Linked DNA regions of Nothobranchius furzeri. The protein of the gene in region 1 purifies or fractionates together with the protein of each later gene. This does not show direct contact. Links are inferred from orthologs where the notes say so. Each region holds a gene or a part of one and is shown in the gene's direction. Other genes may lie near its edges. The genes, in order: fibpa and c2cd5.

Evidence for each region.
Region 2: the proteins of fibpa (region 1) and c2cd5 purify together in Homo sapiens (affinity purification with mass spectrometry; 3 studies listed by BioGRID and IntAct, counting the BioPlex papers as one, with this or other methods). This does not show direct contact. The link is inferred for Nothobranchius furzeri from reciprocal best matches to the Homo sapiens genes FIBP and C2CD5.

What each region holds. Positions count from the first base shown.
Region 1 is NC_091741.1:84,649,816-84,654,389, reverse strand, and holds the start of fibpa (fibroblast growth factor (acidic) intracellular binding protein a), read left to right. Parts: upstream 1-1,632; 5' UTR 1,633-1,979; intron 1,980-2,087; coding exon 2,088-2,172; intron 2,173-3,161; coding exon 3,162-3,360; intron 3,361-3,511; coding exon 3,512-3,638; intron 3,639-3,871; coding exon 3,872-3,972; intron 3,973-4,183; coding exon 4,184-4,317; intron 4,318-4,574. UniProt on the Homo sapiens protein: May be involved in mitogenic function of FGF1. May mediate with IER2 FGF-signaling in the establishment of laterality in the embryo.
Region 2 is NC_091744.1:70,654,757-70,659,247, forward strand, and holds the start of c2cd5 (C2 domain-containing protein 5), read left to right. Parts: upstream 1-1,382; 5' UTR 1,383-1,500; intron 1,501-1,553; exon of another isoform or gene 1,554-1,603; 5' UTR 1,604-1,689; exon of another isoform or gene 1,690-1,964; intron 1,965-2,141; 5' UTR 2,142-2,154; coding exon 2,155-2,244; intron 2,245-2,592; coding exon 2,593-2,679; intron 2,680-2,786; coding exon 2,787-2,958; intron 2,959-3,044; coding exon 3,045-3,140; intron 3,141-3,411; coding exon 3,412-3,567; intron 3,568-3,650; coding exon 3,651-3,879; intron 3,880-4,491. UniProt on the Homo sapiens protein: Required for insulin-stimulated glucose transport and glucose transporter SLC2A4/GLUT4 translocation from intracellular glucose storage vesicle (GSV) to the plasma membrane (PM) in adipocytes.

The sequences.
Region 1 (4,574 bases):
CTTTTGGTCTTCATTTGGCAAACTTTCAAAACGAATTTCATCATGATTCCCAAAATAATTTTAGTGTTTTTTCTTTGCTGCTATAATAGCAATGATTTATTGTTTAATTTGCAGGAAAGTCTTTGGAGACTCACTGTTGCAACCTGTCTTCACATCTGTTGAACTTTACCCGGTTAACCAGCAGATCAAATGCTATAGGTCAAACGCATTTTAGTCCTTGCACCCGAATTATGCATGTGCTAAGCTAGACTAAAAAACTTCCACAAATAAATTAATTTAATTGTTTTAAATCTTGTTGGGGACTTTAAGATGCTAAAATGTCTCATGAAAAAATTGTTCTAGAAAGAAATAATGTCCATTTCAGATATGTAGACTGGGATGGATCTACTGGGGTGGCCTAGGGTGGCCTAGGGTGGCAGATGTTAGGGTGCTAGCACGGCTGCTACCACAGCAAATTCATTGAACAGTTGTGGCAAATCAGACATACGAATGTTATTGTCACTTGTCCGATTGAACCGATTATAACGTAAGCTGATAAAATTATGTCACAAGACAAAACAAATACGGCTTTGTAAATACTGATGATTTCCTTGGAAAGCATGTGTTTCTGATTCTACAATAAAACTAGCATTCTGTTCCTCGCTGCAGTGAAATGTTTCTCTCCATGCATACTCTTTTGGCGACACACACACACACACACACACACACACACACACACACACACACACACACACACACACACACACACACACACACACACACACACACACACACACACACAATTGTGTGCGTCTATGTGTATCTCCTTAAAAGAGTATGGTATTTTATGCCATATCTTCCCACCCTTAAAGCATTTCTAGGTCCAGCCCTGTATGTACAGGATAGGCTTGTGAGAAAGCTGAATGCCCAATTCACATAAATGGCACATGTGACATAATTTGTCCTTGGCAGAATCATATTTGTGATATTTGAAATTTTGACTGTGGATGGAAAAATCTCTTCATATCTGCAAAGCAAATTTGTATTTATTAAGAAAGAAACAAATTAATGGAACTGAGGTGTCCACAAGTGGATTGTCTGCTATACACTTTTAGCATTTGGAGTTGAACATTTAGAGTTGAATAAGTAATGGGCATCCATTATCTTTATCTATCTTTTTTTATGGAAACCTATCTAATTTAAAAGTTATCTTTAATCTTATGAATGAGTTTTAATCAATAGTGGTTAAATAAAGTTTAAATAAAAACTTTAATAAAATTGTAATATCCTAACAAATTATCCAAATGACGTAAATAAAAACACTATATTTGAAAACATTACTATAATTCAAATAAAATGTGTGCTTTCTCCTCTATATTAATGTCGATTTTTTTAAACAAACTTTATTTGTTTTTGTCACAAATACATAGTCACACTAACAAACATACATCAAATATACACACGAACAGACATCAGCTCATTAATCGACAAGAGGCACTTAACAGATAATACAACCTTCCAAAAGGTACGTTTTTTGGATTGTTTTTGTTATACAGGGTCAATCAGAAATAAACATTGAAGACTTATTAAAGCTATATTAATGTCGATGGCTTTCTCGCATTTGTTCGTGTGACGTCACCGACCGTACCGGAAGTGGCTGCTAATGTTGTTGTCACTGGCTGCGGATCCCTAAAAACATGGACGCAACGGTTTAACAGCTATTTACGCTTAAAAAAAAACCGGAAAGTTTGAGTGTGCTCCAATTTCCAGATTATATCACCATAATAATTTGGTCTTAATTAGTCATTTTGTTATCTGGTGGTTAGTTTTGTGCTCACCGACGGCTGCTAACGGTTCGGCATGCTAACAGAGGTTTCGAGTTTAGCTAGTAATTCAGGCGACAGGAAACAGTTTAAACTCAATAACTGAATGGATGAATCTGCTTAAAAACACACATTCATTGACGCCAGAAAATCGGTTTGGACGACAGTAAAAACAAGGTATATTCAGTCATTTATTCAGTTTCGGGCTCCTTGAAGTTAATCCGAGAGTTTTGCAGGTAAATTATTTGAGCCAAATTTTAACAGATTATTTTTTGTTTCGTACAGATGGCAGTAGAGCTTGATGTGTTCGTGGGTAACACCACTATTATGGATGAGGAGGTCTACCAGCTCTGGTTGGACGGATACACAGGTAGGAATGAGGCTGCATGTTAATATTATTGTTATAACATGAACAATCAGCCCTGATGTATTTAAGAAGGTTTTTATAAAGATCAAAAGGTCTACAGGCCATTATAGTTATATTATTGCATGTTAACTGATGGGTGATTAAAATCTAATTATGTAATTAAAAACAATGACACAGCTCTGTATAAAACCAAAACTGGGGCTTTTCGTCTGAATTAGTTCATACATGTAGATTAAGTGATCTGCTAGCAGAATAAAACAACAAAACAAAACTTTTCAAACAGCTTCAAATATTGAATTTACAATGGTTGAGATTAATGCATCAAAGATAAACAAAACTTGAAATGATTAGTTGCAACATACGGTATTCATTTTTGGGTAAACAAAGCACTTTCATTAGTCACATCACAGGAACCAGAAAACGGGAAGGCTAAGTGTGGGAAATAAATGGAGCAAAAACACAAAGTTGCCCATAAGTATTTGCTTAAATATCGCAACAAGTACCTCTAAACCTGGCACATCACTAGCAACACCTGAAGTGCAAAGATGCAGAAAATGCCAAGACCAGATCACTGGCTATGTTTACATTCACAGTAACACTTTGATATTAACCCTAGATAGAAAGACCAAAGTGTCAATAAAGCAATGTAATCACGTTACTGCATCGTGCAAGAACATTTTCTTCTACTTCCATAGTTCTCAGATCAAGTTATTTTACACAAAACTGGCTTCTTTTTGTTGAACTTGTTGCTTTCTGTCACACATTTTGGCATCACCAACCCCAGAAGACAGCTTGTGCAGAGCAGGATGAGCTAAAAAGTAATGCTCTGGTATTTTACCGGATATGGGTGTAATTAGCTGTAACAATGAAAAGGAAACACCAGAGTACTACATTGTAATGGGATGGGATTGGAATATTCTACGTATGACTTCTGTTAACAGCATAGTTGTACAACTGATATTCTGATCGGAGTTTGGGATCTATTCCAACAGTGAACGATGCAGTGAGGGCGCGTATGGAGGGAGGAGTACTGGATGAGTTTGATGCAACTGCAGATGTTCTGCTCAGTGATACCATGGACCAGTACAGGACTTTCCAGATGTGTGAGCGTCTTCTGCACAGTCCAGCCAAACTTGCAAACCAACTGCTGTTCCAGATTCCCCCTCATCGGCAAACCATGCTCATCGAGAGGTGAAGCTTGTTTAGTTATCTGTTTTAAGCCATTCTTGTGTTAAAATCAGTCCCTCTACCCTCTTTTTCCCAGTTTAAATTCAATTTAAAATTATTGTTTAAATTAAAAATCATTTTATTATTATTAAATTATTTGTGGGTCTCTGTTAAGATATTATGCCTTTGATGATGTATTTGTACGTGAAGTCCTGGGAAAGAAACTCTCCAAAGGAACAAAGAAAGACTTGGATGATATCAGTGCCAAGACAGGTGTGACTCTGAAAAGCTGCAGACGACAGGTAAAGAACACCACCAGCTTACACAGTGTTGCCTTTACAGCAAGTCTCTTTTGTTAGCCTAGTGTTGTGTTTGGAATGTTAAAAAAAATCATCATGCTGCAGTTTTTTTTTTGTTTAGTTTTCCATGACCTTTTCTCCAGGCTGAGGTACGGTTTATGAGTTGTGGTGGGCTTGTGGTTTGGAGAGAAAATAGTTGTTTTAGTTATTATCTAGCATCATGTGTTATGTTTCAGTTTGACAACTTCAAAAGAATTTTCAAAGTTGTGGAAGAGCTGAAGGGACCCCTGGTGGAGAACATACGTCAACATTTTCTTCTGTCTGACAAACTTGCAAGGTAACCAGTCCTCCTACAAATACTCTAACCCTTTTTTTTACTTATTTAGCTTTTGTTTCAGAATGACTGCATCGGTTTAATTCCTTTTGTTCAAAATCAAAGAACATTTTCCTCCTAAAGTCAAATATTCAGGGTATTTAATCCCATGGAAACAACAGCATGATTGTCTTGTATTTCCCATTGCATCCTGCTTACATTTAGCTTGTTTCAGGGATTATGCTGCCATTGTTTTCTTTGCCAACAACCGCTTTGAGACGGGGAAAAAGAAGCTGCAGTACATCACTTTCCAGGACTTTGCTTTCTGCGCCGGCCAACTTATCAACAACTGGACCGTTGGAGCTGTTGGTGAGGGATTATGGTTGCTTCCTTTGGCCAGTTCTTTGACATAAGATATAAGCCATGTGGATCATTTTTGTCAGTTATGTAATTTATCAAATGTCACAGCGCAATGTTAAACCAATATGTCCTAGAAACACTGTTATTGAAAATAAATGTTGATGCTGTGTAAAACTATGTAAAAATGGCTAAAAATAGACACCTGAGAACAAGCTGTTCATTTTTTTTGGTTTTTCTTTTCAATGAGACTCACTGACCAGCAGAGG
Region 2 (4,491 bases), on another chromosome or scaffold:
TGGGCCTTGTTCCACTCTGCGATTGTCGAGGCGGCTGTTGCTAGCTGTGGTCGTAAGATGGCCGGTGCCAGTCGTGGTGGCAACCCCGTACCCGCTGGTGGACACCAGAGGTTCGGGGAGCCGTCAGGCTGAAGAAGGAGGCCTACAGGGCGTGGCTGGTCTGTGGGTCTCCGGAGGCAGCAGACAGGTACCGGATAGCCAAGCGGGGTGCAGCAGTGGCAGTTGCCGAGGCAAAATCTCGGGAGTAAAGGTTAGCGATAACTGAAATTAACCTAAACCAAAAACAAAAAATAAATAAATAAAATAAAACTTTAGTTTGGAAAGTGTAATCTATGAAAGTGTCACAATAGGGACATCGGTACATTACACTCTTATTGTCATCCATTTTCCAGGAACTTTAGTGTGATGTTTGCAAGTTCAGATTTGATGATTAGATTATCTTTTTTCTAGTTTTCAGTAAAACCAATGCTGAAATTCAGAGAACTCTTAGGTCAATCTAAGGTCATTCTGTGTATGTTGGTTTTGATTTATCATGCACCATCTTGCCTTTTGACAGGAAAGAAACAGAGCAATCATGTCACATCTGCACCAGTCATTTAAAATGGAGCCATTTGTTAGGGTTAGATTGGTGGCCACTAATGTTTGCAGATCCCAAAGAAATGATCTGTTTATTTGGCTGTTTAGTTTGAACCCACTTATTTTAATTGACTTTTTCTCATGTTTGATTAAATCTTGGCTTTTATAATGCAAGCTTAACTATATGTTTTTATTAGTCGTAGTTCATTTAAATTTATATGAACAATTTATATTTCATATTTTTTGCATCACTAAAATGCCCAATGGGAGAACACTTTGACGCGACTACTGCAAGGTATGTTTCCAGACATTTTTTGTGAGTGGAACAGTAACTCTTTAGGTTTACCGAGTATTTATTATTTTAAGTAAGAAGAGGAGCCAGTGGCAACGTTTCTGACATAGTCAACGCCTTATTTGATTAATAGCTTTATTTTAAACTTATCTAAAATAGTAAAGAAAGAAAGAAAGAAAGAAAGAAAGAAAGAAAGAAAGAAAGAAAGAAAGAAAGAAAGAATGAATGAAAGAGACGTAGCTAGCTACCAAGGGAATGTAAAAATCACATGACAAGTTTCAACCCGAACATGTAGGAGGTGGCGCATGTCTTCATTGCTGCATTTACTGAACTGTAGTTTTTAATAATTTAAATACTACTCACATATAAATAACGTAGAAGAACCAATAAAATAATACGTGAATCTATATGCACAGTAAACCACATAGTAAGAATAAGGGAAGATGTTCAATCTTTACATTTTTGTTTATGTTTCTGGCAGCAGGGTGACGTTGTAGTCTAAAGTACGACGTTACGGGATGTTCATGAAGGTATCACGCTATACCACTGAAAATTCATTCATCATTAACAGTTATCAACAAGCTAGCTTTTACATTTACTCTTTAAACCAGGAGTTATGCAACATTTTAATGGTTTGTATAGTAACTTGTAAGCAAATAATATTCTTTATATTGTTATGATTTGAGCAGGTGATATCTAAGCTGGTAATAACGTGTCGTGTTATGGGAAAGACAGTGAGGTCAGGCGATCGGTGGACCGTCAACAACGATGTGAAAGGACTGCTACCGCTCTGACAGCTGTCTGACCATATTATAGCACCGGTAAGAACGATAGTCTTTAAAATAGGGGCAAGAAGCTTATTTTTGTAGGAGGAGTCTGGTCTGCATGGATGTTCGTACAAACATGGCCGATCAGGTAACTAAAGCTAACGAGATCCAGTGTCAGCAATGCCGTTAAGTGGCTTTCATGCGTTAGCTTAAAGCTAACACAATCGTGCCAACTGATGGGCGCTGTCGTGTTCATAATGGCATTTCACTATATTACGTCTGACGTTATAAACCATTTAAGTTACGACACGAAGCTTTATTGATGAAAGGTACGACACGAAGCTTTATTGATGAAAGGTTGTTTATGTATTATGAATGCGCTTTTAAATTGAGTATGGGGCTGTCCCTCTCCACACACTCCCCTAGCTGTCGCGTAATGATGGCAGTGCTACGCTACTTGGAGAGCGACAGGTCTAACTGCTCTGTTTGTTTACATATTTTTGCAGATCAACTTAAATCATGCCTGGAAAACTGAAGGCCAAAATTGTGGCAGGGCGCCACTTGCCTGTCATGGACAGAGCCAGTGACCTAACGGATGCCTTTGTAGAGGTAAGGGGATCATTTAACAACACTGAGTTGATAACAAATATGATAATCAGAAAAACGGGTGTCCTAAACTTTAGACAGATTTAGTTTCATGATGTTTCCAGTTTTTGGATTGAAGGTAAGCTATTTTGGGACCTGAAAGAGTTGAATGAAAATGTTTTGCTGGTTTTTGGTGAAATAAACAAAATATTCTTTAAAAGACATGATTTGGATAGCAGTGTGTGGTGTCTAAGGTAAGTAGAGTAATCAACTCTTGACTAATTAGCACATAGCAACTCAGAGTGATTACAAAAGCTAGTTTACTGTGACTGTTTATGTATCATTCTACATACAAAGGCTGTTTCTTTTCAGGTGAAGTTTGGAAACACAACCTTCAAAACAGATGTTTGTCCTAAATCCCTTAATCCACAGTGGAACTCTGAATGGTTCAAATTTGAGGTAAAATTACTTTTACTCCTTTTTAAGCTAAAGAAGTGGCTGTTTTATTTACTAGGCTATTAAACGTATACAAATTTTCGTCTAACTTATCATTTATTTCTGTCTAGGTTGATGATGAAGACTTGCAGGATGAGCCTTTGCAGATCACAGTATTGGACCACGATACTTACAGCGCCAACGATGCCATAGGAAAAGTTTATATTGACATCGATCCTTTACTGTGTACTGAAGCGGCCTCTATCATCTCTGGCTGGTTCCCTATCTACGATACCATCCATGGTACAAGATTCACCTTGCATCATTACGATAAAATCCTTCATCTGTTTTTATTTCTTATTGACATGACTTACTTTGCTTTCCATCAGGTATCCGCGGAGAGATAAATGTCCTCGTAAAAGTGGAGCTCTTCAACGATCTGAACCGCTTCAGACAATCATCATGCGGGGTCAAATTCTTCTGCAGTATGTCTGATCTGACTTTTACTTCTCAGTGCACCCTAATTAGCCTTAAATGTTGCAGTTGCATACAAAGCAATTCACAGGTAATGTGAAATATTAAGACACTAAGATTTTTGGCACGATCTCAAGTGCATCAAGTAAAAACATAATTTTCATACTTGGTAAGGATGAATGTTTTTTCAGGGCCTTCATTACGTCTGTAAACCAGGAAGTGGCTATTAACAAAGTGTCTTAAATATCTTTTATTATCTTATTGTCTCAATTTCACTTGCAGCTACATCAATTCCATACAGCTATCGGGCAGTGATGGTGCATGGGTTTGTAGAGGAACTGGTGGTGAATGAAGACCCAGAGTACCAGTGGATAGACCGTATAAGAACCCCTCGTGCATCCAATGAAGCTCGCCAGAGACTCATTTCTCTGATGTCTGGTAAAAAAAATAAATTCTATGTTTTTCCCTTGGATCTGGAATAATGTCTCATGTTAACATCACTCTTCTTACTCTTTGTTTAGGAGAACTACAGAGGAAAATAGGGCTTAAGGTCTTGGAGATGGGTGGGAACGCTGTGGTGGGTTACTTGCAATGTTTCGATCTGGAGGGAGAGTCGGGTCTGGTGGTCCGGGCCATAGGTACCGCCTGCACTTTGGAAAAATTCAGCTCTGGGAGCGCCTCGATTACCTGTCCACACCCGAGCACGGCCCCTCCTTCCAACGCCTGCAATTCTCCTAAAGATGGAAAGGAGTGAGTATGAACCAAAAACATGAGCATGAACATGACCTTTTTAATGTGCAAGTAAAGTTTGTGGGAATGCAGAAGAGCGGTGTGTGCATGAGACGGAGAGCGTGCACATGAGGTCTACTGTTAATCTGTTTTAATCCAGCCATTATTCCTGTGTGTGTCTCAGTACAGTTTTATTAGTTTATGTCTGTTGTGTATTGCAGCATGAAACTAACAACACATTACATACCCTGAGACACACACATACAGCACACACAGATCCATCGCTCTGCTCCTTTTAACCACTTGTGCACGACTTACTGCTCTGCCTCTGCATGTTTTATTGCGTTTTGCTGTAATGTATATGTTGCATGTGCTCTTGCTCTGCTTCTAAACCCTTTGTAGCCGATTGGTGAAATCTCCTAGTATTGTTGGCACCACTGCAGCTGAGTGCTTGGTAGCTTCTGATTTGCATCTATGTTGAAAAGAAATGAATCAGGGATGAAAGCTTTCAACTAAACATTGTGTAGTAAATGAATTTAGTTTCTAACGAGGTGGGAAATCAGTAATATCGCATCTTCCGCTTAAAATGAGAAATTTCTTCTTTATTTGTCAACTTGGCTGCAGATTTGTAGT